Caenorhabditis elegans: one gene and its partners. The protein of the gene in region 2 purifies or fractionates together with the protein of the main gene of each other region. This does not show direct contact. Each region holds a gene or a part of one and is shown on either strand. Other genes may lie near its edges.

The links. The genes of interacting proteins can lie anywhere in the genome.
Region 1: the proteins of calu-1 (region 2) and K03B8.6 fractionate together in Caenorhabditis elegans (co-fractionation; one large-scale study listed by BioGRID). This does not show direct contact.
Region 3: the proteins of calu-1 (region 2) and cmd-1 fractionate together in Caenorhabditis elegans (co-fractionation; one large-scale study listed by BioGRID). This does not show direct contact.

What each region holds. Positions count from the first base shown.
Region 1 is NC_003283.11:11,404,449-11,410,043, forward strand, and holds K03B8.6 (uncharacterized protein), read left to right. Parts: upstream 1-3,135; 5' UTR 3,136-3,136; coding exon 3,137-3,259; intron 3,260-3,446; coding exon 3,447-4,079; intron 4,080-4,134; coding exon 4,135-4,293; intron 4,294-4,596; coding exon 4,597-4,677; 3' UTR 4,678-5,095; downstream 5,096-5,595. Other genes in the region: K03B8.8 (Conserved secreted protein), read right to left, coding at 5,099-5,279.
Region 2 is NC_003284.9:4,967,523-4,973,705, forward strand, and holds calu-1 (Reticulocalbin-3), read right to left. Parts: upstream 3,390-6,183; 5' UTR 3,374-3,389; coding exon 3,281-3,373; intron 3,226-3,280; coding exon 3,122-3,225; coding exon of another isoform or gene 3,070-3,121; coding exon 2,523-3,069; intron 2,472-2,522; coding exon 2,271-2,471; 3' UTR 2,012-2,270; downstream 1-2,011. Other genes in the region: M03F4.6 (EB domain-containing protein), read right to left, coding at 228-309, 360-473, 600-737, 1,718-1,799; ZC8.6 (Phosphatidylinositol 4-kinase type 2), read right to left, coding at 5,394-5,596, 5,712-5,805, 5,855-5,971.
Region 3 is NC_003283.11:1,153,379-1,158,689, reverse strand, and holds cmd-1 (Calmodulin), read right to left. Parts: upstream 2,420-5,311; 5' UTR 2,383-2,419; coding exon 2,349-2,382; intron 2,068-2,348; coding exon 1,829-2,067; intron 1,732-1,828; coding exon 1,584-1,731; intron 1,527-1,583; coding exon 1,498-1,526; 3' UTR 501-1,497; downstream 1-500. Other genes in the region: T21H3.5 (Serpentine Receptor, class H), read left to right, coding at 304-439. UniProt on the Caenorhabditis elegans protein: Calmodulin mediates the control of a large number of enzymes, ion channels and other proteins by Ca(2+). Among the enzymes to be stimulated by the calmodulin-Ca(2+) complex are a number of protein kinases and phosphatases.

The sequences.
Region 1 (5,595 bases), on a different chromosome or scaffold from region 2:
GAAACCGTCCCAAAAATAAATATTAATCGAATTTGATTTAAAAACTTTGATGCAGGTTTTATTGATTGGCATTCTCTTTTAAAAATATTTTTCTGCTGTTATAACTGTTAGCTTTTCAGTGACAAAAAACATAGCTTAATCCCATTAATTTTGCAAAAGTCTGATCTGTTTGATGAACTCAGATTTGCGAGCATTGTCTCCTCCATTCAACAGTCGCCGACGCCTCGTAATTGTGTAGCGGCGTGAGCGATTCTCTCGAAATTATGATAAGCAAACAAGGGTGAACATGCAAAAGCCGCTTCTTCTCTTTTCTTTATATTCTTTCCGTTCTTGGCCACATTGCGCGTCCTTTTTCTGTTTTACTCTCTAGCCTTCCGAATGAGAGTACACCACGGTTTTTTGCTTACTTTTTTGATTACTGGCTCTTGCTCAAATTGTTTGTGGGCATTTTCGCCTCCTTTTCACATCGTTTAGTCATTTTTCTTCCTCAATTGTCGTTGATAACACTTTTTGTTTTGGGAGGTTCCCATTGTTACAAATGTTTTTTTTTTGAAAACAAATTTGTTTCTGGAATTCTATTATGTAATTCTACATCGAATGTTTGCCAGTCGATGATATAATCAGTTTACTACGTTTACGTGTGTAACATTCTAATGGTCTGACTGTAACGATTGTCAACGAAATGATAGTGAGCAAAAATTGAAATATTCAGGTCAGATAGTATTGGTATATTTGGTAGTTAGGGATCAGACAGAATTTTTTGTGGAATTCAAGTTTGAATTTTTTAAATTCCCATTTTTATGAATAAAATGAATGAAATTGATCGATCTAATGCACAGATGTGAAATGACTACTGTATTTTACCATTATTTGAAAACGTTTGAATTATGTTTCCAAAACGCTATTCTCACTTCAAAGACTGAATTTTCTGCCATAATTCAAGAACTAGACCAATAAGTAATATTTTGCCTAGGTTGATCCTTAAAGAGTAAACATGAAATTTTTTATAATGTTTCAAAAATAAATAAATGATGGTCATCACTTGAAGTTTTTGTTTTGGAAGTATGTTCACACTGTTCAAAACGACCTTACCCGAATCGCCTGTCAGAGTATTTTTTTTGGAAAATAGGAGTACGAGTGGTGTTTTTCAATGATAAAATATAAGCTTCTCGGTAATCATTTTCATAGACGCTTACGTTGCAACTTTTCCGAAAACTGACCATTACCCTATTCCACAAGTTTTTCTTTCATTTCTTTCTTTTTACCGTCCTTTCTGTTCATCTCCAGTCCCGACCTTTTATTTCAAATGGATAGATTCAAAAACGCACGTTTACTTTGCACTTTTTGATTGTTCTTTTGCAATACTACAGTAAATCGTGTGAGCAACCTTTTATGGCAACCAACACCGCTTTTGCAAACGAGTGGACGTGAGAGCCAGATAATCACCATATCTCTTTTTGTGTGTGTGTATTGATGCCGACTTTCCTTCAAAAAAGTCAAAAGACATGTTGTCGGAGAGTTACAAAAGAGCAACTCGTCATTCCTGATGAGCACACTTCACGCGCCGAGCCAAGCTTTTCAGTCAGTGTTCAGCCGACTTGCCCCACGACCGATGCATGAGCCACTCTGTTCTTCGGAAAACAAAAGTGTCATGGTTGAACAAGGAGCCGCACACTTATTGTACAAGGCATAATTTGAACAAATAATTTCATGTGGCGGGTGGCGACTGTCTCAGCGGCGAGGAAGACCTCCCGGCTCTTTTGTATCGCAAACACGTTCAAATCAGAAAGAAAAGTTGAAGAGCAACGGGAAAGAAAGAGATATGTATGGAGTTGAAATGAGAGTAATGGGGAAAAATATCAATGTTATTCTCTATTCAAACTTTCATAGACTGTGGTGTTTGATCCTTTAGAGTTCTTCTTTTTGAAATTTCATATTCATTCAGATGAACGTATACAAAAATTATGGAAAAAGTCGTAAAAAAGTTTTTAGAATTATCTAAAACACAGAAAATATATTCAAAATATCACTTGAACATCGTTTTCGTAAAAACCATGTACAATAAACATAAAAAGCACTTCGCATGAAAATTTAATTTTTTGACCCTTTTTACTATTTCAAGTCAAGTCTAGACATTTGCAAGATGTCATACCCAACATTTTCTCGTAAGAAATCATTTCTTCAACCTACTTGACTTGGTAATTCAACCGTTTTTCACACATTTACCATCCTCATCTCTTCTATTCTTGTCCTTTTCTTTCGTTTTCTTTGCGCACGTATCGTAATCTCGTGTTATGCAAAATAGGGGTACTTGTTAATGCAGACGTTGTGGTTTCATACCTCTCTTGATCTTCTCATATTTCTCATATTTTGCAAATTGCCGTCGGCTATATTACTTTGATGTCCCAGACGATATCTCATGATTTTGTTTAGAAAAATCTATTTTTGATCGTAAATTTGTAAAAATAAAATGGTAGCCGATGGTAGATAATGGAAAAATGTTTACGTTGCTTGCTTTTTAACAACGGGGATATTGAAGGTTAGGAGTGAGAAATGTGTCATCAAGGATTCTTTTTGTAACTTTACTCTAGACTGTTGGAAGGGCAGAGGTTTTAAGAAAAAGAATATGACAAATAGAACTTGAAACGTAGGATGTGAAACATCTGATCGTAATAGTCCGAAATTCACAACTCAGCGGGTTCAGTTTCATATAAGATAAAATACAATATTGATTTTAAGGGCATCTTCTTCTTTTTTCCTAACTGTATCAAATTTTTATCAAACCTATTTGCTCAAATATTCTTCCTTTTCATGTTTGAAAGTTTTAAAAGTTTTCCGTTCGACCTCACTTTTTTCCTCCTTTTCTGTCCTTTGAAACTATCTTGCTCGTTCTCGCCTTTTCTCAATTTAAAAAATGCTCATCTGCCACATACCTCTTCTATGTTCTCTGTCTCTTCATCTCAAACATTGTCTCTACTTGACACTTTGCCTGACACCATCTCAATGTGTGTTGGCCGTGTGTATGAAAGAGGCGTGGTTTGAGTCTGTCTGGAGGAAACCATGTTGTCTTTTTCATTTTTCCGTGCCCTCTCTTCATTGTAAAATATTTATGAAGAAACATTATTTTAACTTCAGAATGAGGAAGCCACTGGTGGTATTGCTGTTGATACTGGTGACAACGGTGGAGAGTCGATTCGTGGACAAAATGGTCAATTCAGAAATTGGAGACACCTATTACAAACACGAATCGGATCCAATAGTAAGCTCTTTTCAAAAAATTTGCTTCAATGAGTGAAAACTAGTAATCTGAAGAAGAAATACATTGTCCGAAATTTAGAAGTGAACTAGCGAAGTCTCTGTTTTTTTTTATTTTATTTTATTGTTGCAGCCTTCTTATAGAAGGAATTTTCTAATTTTAAACAAATGTTATATTACTTATTTTCTAGATGATCGACGACAAAGATGACGCACCTCAATACGAAGTAAATTCGGAAGAAGTTCCAACTTTGCCACGTATGAATAGTCAGACCAAATGGGAAATGATTCGTGCCAGTGGACAAGATCCAACAGTCCGTCGTAGAAAAAACAAGCAGCATCGTCAGCAGAAAGTCGTCCTTGGACGTGAACGTCGTGACTTGATCCTTGCTCCATGGAGAATCACTCATGTTGTTCCGAAAAAGAAAGAAGCTGAAGTTCCAAAGAAAGCAATGGCTCTGTCATTTGATGTCTGTCCTGAAAAATTCGATGCAATTACAAAGGGAATCAATGGAAGAACCTATGTTTTTGCTCGCGAAAGGGTTTATCAAATTTGGTTTGAAGACGGACTTCCACAAAAAGCGTCTTACTTGATCAGTGAATTCTTTGCTGGAGGACCGAGAACTGTGACCGCCGCATTGACAAATTCTCGATCTGGAGTCACAATTCTCTTTGATGGACGAACTGCATACAGATTCCGTTGGAACAGAAAACATCGTAGATTCCAGCTGGCGAAAAATACCCCACAAGATCTTCCCCGAAACATCACAATCCATCCATTGTCAGCATTTGAATGGGCCGATGGAAATCAAGTTGTTCTCAGTGTGAGTTGATATCAATCTTAAGAAAACCTTCTTGTCATGGTTGAAATGATTTCAGGGTGAACACTTCATCATCTACGACGCATACTGGAACTTAGCCACATTCACAGGCCACACACGCAAGTATTTCCCAAATCTGCCAAGGGATCTACTGGGAATCGTGTACAACGGAGCTGGAGAAACACTTTTGATGTACACCAAGACAAACAAGTTAAAGGTATTCTTTCCGCAATATTAAAATCTTCGGCAGTCGGCCACTTTTTTCCGCTGGCGATATTCTCAATTAAACAGTACTTATATTTACGAAAATCGGCAGCCCCGTCAATTTCCGATAAGTTTAAATTTTCAGAGAACGCCAATTGCCGAAATTATCGGGAAAATTTATATCTTGAGTTCAGCATACGTATCAGCTTTTAGAGCATTCATAACTCTCTCGATAGCGACTCTATAGTAACAATTTTCAATAGGATTCCAACTTTGCTGTTGAAATATAAATCGATCTTTTATGTTAATTTTTCAGGTTTACAACACGAAGAAGTTCAAAGTAGTACAAGAATATCCGCTGAAACTGTCTGAATTTGTCGGATGTCAAACTAGATGATCTGCTCAATCTGTCTTCATGCCTTTCTATCAAATCTCTCCCATTTCCGATGATCTGATCCTTTCATTCGTTTCCTTCTCAATCTTAAGATCGATCGATTTTGCTTTTTTGCTTTATTTGTTTTTTTTTCTAATTTTGTTTCTTTGCTTACTCACTTTTTATGCCCAATTCAGTTCTGAGCCGGTGTCTTCGAATCAGAATTTCAACTTCCTGTTTCTAACCCAATTAAATCCTAACTCACATTTTAAGTTTTCTACTTATTCCCAACACCCACAGTCTTAAGTTATTTTCCCTTCCTTCACCGCCTTTTCTTAAAAACGTTTTACGTGTATTTTTGTTTTATCTTTTCATGACTTTTTATATTTCAAGTTGTCATTTTCTTCATTTTGCAACAAAAAATAAATCAAATCTTCGCAATAGTTCAGCGTCGTCGACGTCCTAACACAAATTCCATGACATTATCCAGAATGTTATCAGTCATACTTCCAACTCGTCCCATCAGACTATACGACGGCGGAGGATACATCATTGGTGGATAAGGAGGAGGTGGGTACTGGTAATTTGGCAGTGGATCAAATCCTATTGGCCGTTGATTAATTGGTCTGAAATATACTATTATTTCTCAATAACTGTGTCTGCATTACTTTATTAAAAGTGGAATGTAAACTGACAGTTTTCAACTTTTTATTAAAAACTCTGCAAAATAAGCAAAGGTGACTGAAAGGGGCCAAATTTCCATACCATGCACATATGGATTTACTCGGAAATCATTTGTTTTGTGTTTTTTCCTTAAGCGTGATTACATTTTTTCCTTAAGCGTGATTACATGTTTTTTTTCACGGAAAGAACACTTTCGACATAATTTGTCTAAATACATTCATATGCTGTAGAAATTCGGCTCAATCTACTTGTTTACGT
Region 2 (6,183 bases):
CTAAAATAAAAAATAATTTTCAACTGAATTAAATATTTAGACTTACTCGATCACTAAATTTTGAAGAAAAATATTAACATAATCCCACTCTTGCTTTTCTTTTTGTAGAACACCCCCTGCTTCAATTCAAGTAATTTGCCAGTTTTTCATGTTTTAGACCAATTCTAGTTGACCTTCACAATTTCAATATCTAGGTATATTGTTTTATAACTATTTTTCTCACTCACTGGCTGTCTTTCTCACACGGTTGCTGATAATGGGCAACACGAGTGCATTCGACGCCATAAAGCTGCTGACCAACTGGACACACTGAAAATCCACTCATCCTTCACAAATCTTTAGACATCAGCTTCACTTACGAACAACGCATTTTCCGTCAACAATACTACCACCCCAGCACTCGCATTTACCATCTCTGCACAATAAGGGAGGCTTGCAATCGCGTTGACAGGAATCTCCGATTTTGGCGGGTGCTGAAAGCAAAAGCTAATTTATACAACAAGAGGCAAAAGACCGGTTCGGTTCGGTGAATCATTTGAGAACTGTAAGAAGTCTAAAACCAAAGAGACAAAAAAAAACGAGGAAAATTATGATGTCACCTAATCGGCAAATTGTCGTTCGTTCATCGATGTCGTATTCTTCAAAGTTTGTGGGGCAGGTACATCGGGAGTTTCTGCACACTGAGTTCATTCCATAGCATTCTTCATCAAATAGGCAGTCACTTCCAATAAGCTTTTCTGAAAAAAATAAACATATTTTTGTTGAAGTGTGGGGGACTGAGAAAACTGCTTTCCTATCTATAAATTATGATAGTTCAATCATATTAAAGGTTACGTAGTATAATCTAGCATGGCCAAATATCATGATAAAAAACTTCTAAAAGATTTTGAATTGTTCAAAATTTTTGATCAAAGTTTCCAAAAATGTGAACTTTTTGAGTAAATTTAAGAATTGCTACAGATTGAATATCCTGGGTAAGAATATAAAACTCGTAGGAAAATAATTTAAATGTAATTTTGAAAAAATCAAAACATTTTTGGAAAGTTTTACTATGACATTTGGGCATTGTACAACTGAAGGAGCGGCTTTTTAACGACTGATGTTTTTTTTTGAATATTCGAAAGCTTTTGATTCATGTTTTCGAGCCTAATTGCATTGTTAAATTATTAATTTCTAGGTTAAAAAAAAACAGCTCTAAACTAAACAAAAAAAAAAGACATTTTCAGACACTTCCTGAAGATTTTTCATTTCCATCATTTCAGTGCAATTTAGAGTTTTCTTTTAGTCTGGTAAACTAGCTGATTGGCTTGAATTTCAATTTATTTGAAGCCAATTTTGAATTTTTCAACGAATTCACTAAATCAATAGAACAACATGTAACCATTGTTATGTCAAATGACCTTAAAAATTTGCAAGTTGTTTTTACAGTTCAAGAGTACTTTTCAAAAACTACATACACTGCCTTCAAACAAAAATAAGCCATGATACAATTTGGAAATATTAAATAGAAATTCTGAAAATAAGCGATTTTAGGATTTCAAAACTTTATTATTTCGTTATTTAATTGTAATAAAGTTAGAATTTTTCTGAAATTTTCACAAATTATAGGCATTATTCAAATATATAATAAGAAAAATTTTCAATTCCAAGAACCAGTATACATGTATTAGCTCAATGTTTCATACAACTACGATATAAAACATTCAAATTGACTCACGTGCACACGGAACATCGAACGCTAAAGCTAATCGATCAATAATCAGAAACAAGAATAACACTTGGATGAATGGGCTATGCATTACTATGGCGAAGAAAAATTAGGACAGAACCGATTTGAAGATTTCCCTGCGGAAAGAGAGACAGAGATGCGACTATGAAAGGAAAATCATCAAGGGGTCAACACCGTCATGATCGTCGCCACGTCCGCTGTGCGAAGACATGGCGAAGTCGTACACATTTGACACACTAAATTATTTCATTAACCTTCCGTTGTTCTGTAAGGAATTGGATTTTTGAATGCATAAACTTTTATTTGTTGATAATTATTAAAACCAGTAAAATTCGAAAAATCCGAAAAATTCAAAAATGCATGCGCTTGAAAATTATATACTTATGACATTGAAAAAGGCAAACAATAATGAGATAAATAAGAACAGTGAACATTTTTTGTTAAGTAAGAATGAGTTTCGAAGACCAGTCACACATTATTATTACTAACAGATCTCAAATGAGAATTTTCGCGTAATACTGTTTGGAGAAAAACAAAAATTTTAGAGCTCGGCTGGGTCGTGTTTCTGGAGTTGCTCTCCGTAGTCGGTGGCCTGGGATCCGACGAATGTGTCGTAGTGGGCGACGATTTCATCGAGATTCAGTTTTCCGTCTTTGTTGTCATCGGCGATTCCAACCAAGTGACGAGCCTCAGCCTCGGCGTGGTCGAATCCAACTGGCATAATCCAATCGCGCATCTCCTCCTGAAATATAATCATTATTAATTAGACATCATATTATAGACATTATTATACCTGATTGAGTTTTCCATCTCCGTCCTTGTCTCTGTGCTCCTTGAACATTTCGCGCTCAGATTGAACCCAGTCTGGTTCTTTTCCATTCAACTCTGGGTAATCATCTGGTCTATACATATCTCCAATGTACTCATCAAGATCCACAGATCCGTCCTTGTTCTTATCAATATCATCGACAGTCTCGGCGACGACAACGTCTCTCATGTGATCACAGTCTTCTGGATGCATGAAGCAACCGTATTCGGTTCTGTCGAGGGCTCCGTTTGAGTCGTAGTCGGCAACAGCCCATCTCTTCTCGTCACGTGCGATCATTTTAGCGTATTCTGGAGAAAGCTCCTGGCCAGCTCCGTCAGCAGATCCGTAGACCATCTCTCTGTAGTCTTCCCACTTGATCTTTCCGTCGACAATCTTCTCGGCCTTGTAGTTCTTCCAGGTACGGTCCACGTCGTTGTTGACGTATCTCTTTTGCATGAAGTTGATGTGATCCTTGAGCTCGTTCTCCTCGATGAAGCCATCGCTGTCAGCATCCATCTTTGGAACGAGCTTGCTGAAAATAATAGACGTTGATTTGAAGGTCATGAGACTTTAAAAGAACATACGCAAGCTTCTCCTTTGACTTTTCTGGTGTTAATTCATCAAATTCAGCAGCGGTGTCTTTTCCGAGGAACTGCTCGTGATCGTACTTCTTGTCATGTTCCTTTCCCTAAAAATAACAGAACAGATATTTGTAAAAGATTATGCGTAAAACTGCAAATTACCTTGAAATGTTCACCATCTTTCGATGGATCGGATGAGTGATGGGAAGCAAGCGCGGTGGCTGCGAGGAGACCAACGAAGAGAAGAACCTTCATGTCCAGATCCTACTACCTGAAATTAAAAATAAATCATTTTTGAAACAAAAACAATTGAGAATACAAAACATAGGATAAGTGTGTACTAATTAACAATTACGATGTGAAGTGGGGAATACTGACGGCTCTTTAAAAGGATATACATAAATAGGTCAAGCAATCGGGAACACTTTTTATGCACCGTCTAGCGATTGTCTGAAGGCAGAAAGATGGAAGACAGCCCAAAACTACGGACAGACGCCCGATTGGAAGGAGTGAGTTGGCCTGCTTGCGAACTGTCAATCTCACCCGCCAGTGTTGACAGTTTCTCAATACCTCATATTGCTGCTCACGCAAACAAATTCGATGCCTATACGTTAGCCAGAGGCTACTCTTATGATTTCACAGGGTTTAAATGTTTCAAGAGGAGGGGTTTCGTTCTAAAGATTAGTACACGTAGCATAAGATATAAATAAATGTTATTTCTTGATTTCTTCATGGAAATAAAAATGATCAAGAGAACGCTGCAAACGAAGCGAATCAAGAGAAAATTCGGTGACTTCTTCTCGGCTACCTATGCAGTTCAGGATACTACAGTTTTAGCAAGAAGTGAGCGAGGAAAAGAAACCCTCTTGTAAGAGAGAGAGAGAGAGATGGTCATCACAAAATGGGGGTCAGTGCCTGCCGGGGCTGCCGATTTCTCAGAGCAGAGAGTACAGTGTACCGGGAGACGCAGTCAGAGGTTAAGTTAAAACATTGGAGAGACTATGCGGGAGGGCGGAGGCGGCAGACAATGGCCTGGTAAAGAGAGAAAGACTGCGGCGGGAGTAGAACAACCCCGAGACACACACACACACACATTCGTCCACAGAAAGAAAAAGAGAGCCACGTGTACAAATCTCGAGTCACTTGTTGGGATGAGTTTGTAGTTCTTCTCCTAGATGTTCTTCAAATTTCTTTTCTCGAAATTTTGTTCAGTGAGAATTGAGAGAACTCATACAAGTTTCAAAAACCTCAAACGTAGAACGTTCTACATGAAATTCGTAACAGGGATCTAGAACTTATCAGTACACATAAATACTATGTCTAGTGTTAAGAAAACCTCAAACTAGAAGCCTCCCATTGCCGTGAAGGTTGCTTAAAGATTCACAGTAGAATAAACAATCCGAGGCTAGTTAGTTTATATAGAATTCTTACTTTGAATAAACAAATGAAAGTCAATGGAAAGACGTCTGGTCAATCGGTCAGCGGCGCGACACACGTCTGCAGGGTTTAAATAGATGAGCCGTCGTGCAGCAGTTGTGTGGACCGTTCGAGAATCTTCTTCTGTTTCACAGCTGTCGTCTCCGCCTGGAACACGTCATCAAAAAAGATCTCGTCTTTTGCCTGTGGTGTCGACCCTAGAAATGCGGCGTGCCGGCCGGTGACCCCAAATCATTTCTTACCTCAACCATCATACAACTTATCTGTTTAACCATATCTTACATAGAACTAAATCGGCCTGTACGCGCCTCTGATTATCACCCCGGACCGCGGGGGAAAGGGACATCACATCTTTTCACTCGTGCGCGCGGCCCACTTACCCAGTTAGGAGGAACGAAAACAAAAAGAACCGAATACACATAAAAGATAAAGGTGAATAGTTCGAACAGATATTGTTATAATGGAACGATACAAATAAATAAAGAAATTTGTAGAAAAGTTATTCATTCACAAATATATGTCAAACGGGAAGAGGGGACCACGAACACAACACAACTGACAAAAATACGAACCTTGTGAGAAAATGATTGGGGGGAATTTCACAAATCAGGTAGAATTGGAATAGGAATTTAGAAATGATGGAAAACGAATAAAGCTAGAAAAATACAAAAATACAACACACAATATTGGTTAGTTTAAGATATAACCGAGTTCGAATCGATGGAAGATCAACTACTTGTCAAGAGAAGAGCAACTTGACTCGAGGAAGGGGAAAAATGTTTAGCGGGGAAAGAAATGATAGACGTGGAAAAAAAATGTTTAAAATTGAAATCGTGAATCACCACCAACGGAAGAACGGGGCTTTCGTTTGCACTTTTTGCTCATATGTTTCCTGCCACGATTTGGAGCCACCAGTCGATGATGCTGCTCCGGCGTCCGAAGTTGATGGGCCAGCAGTAGCTGCAGCGGCAGCCGACGTGGAAGGACCGGGCTGCTCAACATCAACGTTGCCAGATGTGTTTACCACGGTTGAAGCGTCCGCTGCAAAATTGATTGGCCTATTCATTGTGAATAAAGTTTCTCCAAAAAAAAAAAAACAAACAGCACAAATATTTTTCCGCTAATAAAATATATATTAATTAAACGACACCCATACAATCATAATTCGGCGCCTCTTCGTAATCAGCGTTACGTGATCGTCTTGACTTCTTCTTCTTTTGCTTGACTTCAACCATCAATTGAGGTGGCATCTAGAAATTTGAAATTTGATATTTTGAAAAAAAAAATCAGAATGTGTACCTGAATGAGCTGGTAAGGGCTCTTTTTCTTCATCAATGCTTCTCGCAAATTGAAAATTTGTCCACGCATCACAGACATTTGCTTTTCGAAGATCTTTTTGTCAAAACCTTTGTCATTCTGAAAATAAAAATCAATATATTAAAAATGTAATGAGAAGTTTTTAGATTATTAAAGACGGACGTTGAGATTTTATTTTTTCTGATACCAAATTTTAACAAAATGATAATTTGGACCAAAAAATGTATAATGCGGTCAACTAATACATATCAAACATATCATTTACAATATAAAAACTGAATTTTCTAATAACATTGATGAATACCTTTTAA
Region 3 (5,311 bases), on a different chromosome or scaffold from region 2:
TTGCTAAAATATTGAAATTTATCAAATAATGCAAAAAAAACTGTCACTACTATTCGAAAATAAATTCATTTCGAAAATCGAGCCCGTAAATCGACACAGTAGTAACAGTAGTAACAGTAGTAATTTAAGGGGTTACTGTAGACTTCGCTGCGAGATATTCTGCGCGTCAAATATGTTGTGCGATACGCAGTAGCAGTGTTTTGTGGTCCTTTAATATTGAATCATCATGTTTGCCGTCAATACCTAACGAGACCCAACGTTTGGGGGTGGAGCCTGCCGCTTTTCAACTTTTTCAATTTTCAGACGACAACTCGGCTTCATTATAATCGATTTTTTCCGGCAAAAAAATGTGAACCTTTCCGTCTTTGTCGTCGATAATCAGCAGCAAGCCGATCAACTTCAAATGTCCACCGTCGGAGCACCTATTTCGATGATGTGAGAAGTTTTTTTTCAAAAAAATAAAATTGTTCTTTTTAATTTTTAAATTGACTTTTTGATTGAAAAACCCCAAAGCATTCAAAAAAAATCAAGTTTCATTTGAAGATTTTCTTTTTTTTTTGTTGAATAAGTTCGCATCAAGGGACGAGAGAAGCGAGATAATCAGAGATAAAAATTTGAATTGTTCAGAGATTATAGAGACGGTGGTGGTGGTGGGTTGGTTGGGAAGAATGGAATTAAATTATTAAAGGATTTTGGAGACTTTGACTTTTACAATAATATAAAATAGGAATTTTCAAAGAAAAAATCCAAAACAAAAAAAAAGAAAGCAATGGTGCAAAAAGTGTTCACTAGGCGCCAAAATTTTTTGCCGTTGCTTGTCGAAATCGAAATTCAAAGCAACAGAAAATATTTCAGGTACAATTTTAAAATGGCCCGTGTGACGGTGTGTGTGTGGTGCGAAAAGAGGGAATTTTCTACACTTTCTATAAATGGTTGAGGGGGAAAGAGAGAGGAAAGAAAGATTTTCGAGTTTGGAATACATTTTTTGGGAAGAACAATTTGGAAGAAGAGAAAATATGAGAAAAATACCAAGTGGGAAAAGAAGAAGCCAGCGGTTTTTTTTAAGTTTTTTAAATTTTTTTATGGGGTTTTACAGGTTGGAGGCATTATTTTGAGGAAGGGTCAAGCCGGGGCAGGCGACCAAGAACTGGAGGATCCGGGACTTTTTAATTTGGGGGCAGGGGCAGGAGAAGAAGAAACTCAATCATTGTAAAGAGGAAATAAGAAAAAAATGACTTATAAATGAGTTTCACATTCTAAGAAAAAAACAAAATTAGGTTGAGAGCACGTCTGTCAAAAAAGAGGCAAAAAAACTTAAATTTGAACATAAATTACATCATTTATAGCATTTTTTGACTGGGCTTGGCAATTTTTTTTTGGGGCTCGAGAGCGAAATCACAATTTTCAAGCGGGGAAGAATAAAAAAACGAAAGGTGAGAGAAAAGGTGTTGGTGATTCGCAAACGATACGGCGGCTTCAGATCCCGATTGGTGTGATTTACTTGGTTGTCATCATGGTGACGAACTCTGAAATATGGGAAATTTGATGAAATTTCGAAAAAAAAAGGTCTTGTAAGGACTCACCCTCATAATTGACTTGTCCATCTCCGTCGATATCGGCTTCACGGATCATCTCGTCGACCTCTTCGTCCGTTAGCTTCTCTCCCAAGTTGGTCATGACGTGGCGCAGTTCAGCGGCCGAGATGAAGCCATTTCCGTCCTTGTCGAAAACCTGCAAATAGGAAGATTTGAATGAGATTTTCTATACTACATGAGGCTTCTCTATAGTGAATCAAAAATGAATTTATAAATTTCCACAAATCTCTTACTCGGAACGCCTCACGAATCTCCTCCTCACTGTCCGTGTCCTTCATCTTGCGGGCCATCATCGTCAAGAACTCTGGGAAATCGATGGTTCCGTTTCCGTCAGCGTCCACTTCGTTGATCATGTCCTGAAGCTCGGCTTCAGTCGGATTTTGTCCCAAAGACCGCATAACAGTTCCCAATTCCTTGGTGGTGATTGTGCCATCGCCGTCCTTGTCGAACAAACTGAATGCCTCCTTGAACTCTGAAAATTTGGCAAAATTGATTTGGTTTTTTCTCGAATTTTGTAGTTTTTTATACAATTGTTGATAGATTTTTCGCCGCGAGAACCAGCCAACATCTGGAATAAAACACACAAAAATAGTGGCGCTATACATCTGCTGCTACGGCTAATGTTTCATCCATTAAATTTAAATTTCTACGCCGCGCCGCTTGGTTTCTGCTCAATTCGCTTCGAAATGAGAGAGGATTAGATTTCTTCAATCTCCCGGTCCTCCGTCCATCAATCAGAATTTAAAAAAGTACCGGCAATTTGCTCCTCGGTCAGTTGATCGGCCATCTTGCTTTCGCTGTGCAGGGGGTGTTGTTAGAAAACCCTGAAAAATGAAAAAGGATAATTAATTAATTAATTAAAATCAATATAAATTGTTTGAAAGCGAGCGGAACGACGTAAACAATGATGAATACCGGTGGGTGAAACGGTGACGAGAGAGAAAAAATCGGAGAGAATAATCGAAAAAAGAGAGAAAAGAGAGAAAATAGAGAAGAACTAGAGAGAATTTACTGACTGATAAGCCAACGATAGGTACAAATTTTATATTTCGAAATGAAGAGAGAAGGAGACGAAATCAAAGGTTGATTTTGTCGAATTGGAAATATTTAGCGATTTCACTCTCCTCAAAGCCGAATTATTATTAGAGCGCGCTTGCTACGCGCTTTGCGTTTCTGCATCCGCGATGTTTTTGCCTGTCCACTGAAAAAATCAGATTTATTGAATCTTAGGAACAAACCAAAATGACGAAAATCAACTTTTTTCGTCCACTGGTTGAGAAAAAGTTGAAAAAATCAGCGGGATATTTTTTTTTGTTATTTTCTGAATCTATTTTTCTATCGAAAATCGGTTTTAAACCACTTTTGACTCTAAAGTAAGGTCACAAATGGATTAAAATCAATTTTTAATAGGAAAATATTTAGAAAATAAGAAAAATCTCGTTGATTTTTTCAATTTCAAACCTTTTCACAACCAGTAGACGAAAAAAGTTCATTTTAGTCATTTTAATTTCGATGTTCACTGTCTAGCAATAGGTTTGTCCGTGAAATGCTGAAAAAAAAACATCTACTTTCAGTGGAAACACGTGGTGCCAGGCTGGGCTGTCCCATTACGGTTTGATCTACAAAAAATGCGGGAATTTTGCCCAATAAATGTGATGTCAGCACGTTCTTAACAATGCAAAATCAGTTGAGAACTCTGTTGTCTCTTCTCCCGCATTTTTTGTAGATCTTTGTAGATCAAGCCGGAATGAGACACTCTGACACAACGTGTGGAAAGGCAAAACACCGCGGATGCAGAAATGCGAAACGTAGAAAATTATTCGGCTTTGAGGAGAGCGCGTGATTTCTGTCAAAAATCCACCAAAAAAAAACAAATTTCCAGTGGGTAGATCAAAGATCCCCTGCGGATATTCCATTACACATAATAATCGGAAAACTCTGATGGCCGAGACGTCTTGCGGAAGGAAAAGAAATGAAACAACAAAAAAGAGAGAAGATAGGGGTCAGTGTGTGTGCGTGTTCTGGTTATCGAATTATCCCCACAATACTTCAATTTCCTCTTGTTTTGCACGCAAAACGAGAAGTTGAAATTGGGGGATGGGGAGGGGGGGGGGGGGGGGTGTAGCGAAAACGGCCAACGTCTTATTCATCTGCGACGACCACCACCACCACCGCAACAAGAAAAGAACGGAGACGTGTTCGTCAATGAAGAAGTCTGAACACAAAAACTAGTTCTTCCTTCATCTCATCATACGTCCGAAAGAACATCAGCAGACACCGCGTCAACAACAAAAAAAGCCGACCAATTCTCAGCGGAGCGCATTTTCGATATGGAACATTAATACGAAAAAGGGCTGCTGTACAAGGGGATTATATAAGCGCGCGCGCGAAACGGAGCGGCGGTGAAAACTAAAGCATAATCCGACCCGGCGCAAGGGTTTTCAGGTTTTAACCTATAATGGGAAACCAGGAAAAGGGAATAAACAATCAAAAGAGACCTAAGAAATGTTTTTACAGAATGATAAATCACGAGAATATGGAAAAATAGTTGCGAAAACCTATTTGACGAGTTGAAAAATCAATGAATCACATGATTTAGCAAACAGACTCTGTTTTTTTTCTCGTTACACCTTCGTTTCTCAATTTGTTGGATCTCTCGAGCCTCCTCAAATATCTATACGAACGCTGGACAAATATTTGGCGGAAATCTCGGGGGGTTTCGAGGTTTTCTAACGAAGCGGCTCAGAAAGTCGGTAAAAACAACGAAGAAGCATTTTTCAGGAAAAATGAAACATCGGTTGTTTCTATTGCCCAGGCACATGAAATGATGCCCGTTTAAGCAGAGTGTGCGCGTGTGTGTGTGCAATTTCATTCGTCGCACTCCCTCTCTCTCTCGATGATGCTCAATTTCTCTATTTCTCCCGCCAGAGCGCCCATGCCTGAATACTGCTGTTTCAGTTGCTGGCTGGCTGCTGCAGTCAGTGTGGTGGTGGACGACCGACTGGTGGTGTGCGCAATGCGTCGGTGCGGCATTAGAAATAATGCATTGACGACGGACGACGGTGGAGAAGGAAGGAAGATTATCGAAACCGACAATGTTGGAACTCGAAAAAATGGAAATGGAAGAGTTTGCCGAACTAGGCCATTTTGGCTCGGCCATATCTGGGGTAGATTTATGGCGCGTCGCGGCTCGATTTTAGTTGTAAAACTGAATGTATTCACGACTTTCCCACGCATTGTCCGGCGGGCGATTGCCAATGGAGCGCAAAATTTTCAATGAGGAAGGCCCGTGCCAAGGTTTACAAGAACTAATTCTCACGACAAAATGAACCGCTATTAAAAAAATCAATAAAAACGGGGAGAAATCGACAATGCGCTGACTCATATTTTATCAAAAACCGTGCACACCTTATATACACGGTGGTAAGTGAGTCAGAAAAGGCAAAAAGAGGGCCAACGGGAGGGAACACTTACTCTAAAATGGGCGGGTCGTGAAGCGGTGGAGCGGTACCAAAACAGCTAAGCCACGCCCTGTGTTGTTTTCGATGGGGGGATATTCGACAATTTTTGCGCGGGGTTCTGGCCTTCCTCATTGAATTTTTCGCGCTCTATTGACAATCGTCCGCCGGGCAAAGTCGTGTATACTCCACCCGGATAAATGCTCTTAGTTTTACAACTAAAATCGAGCCGCGACGCGACACGCAACGCGCCGTAAA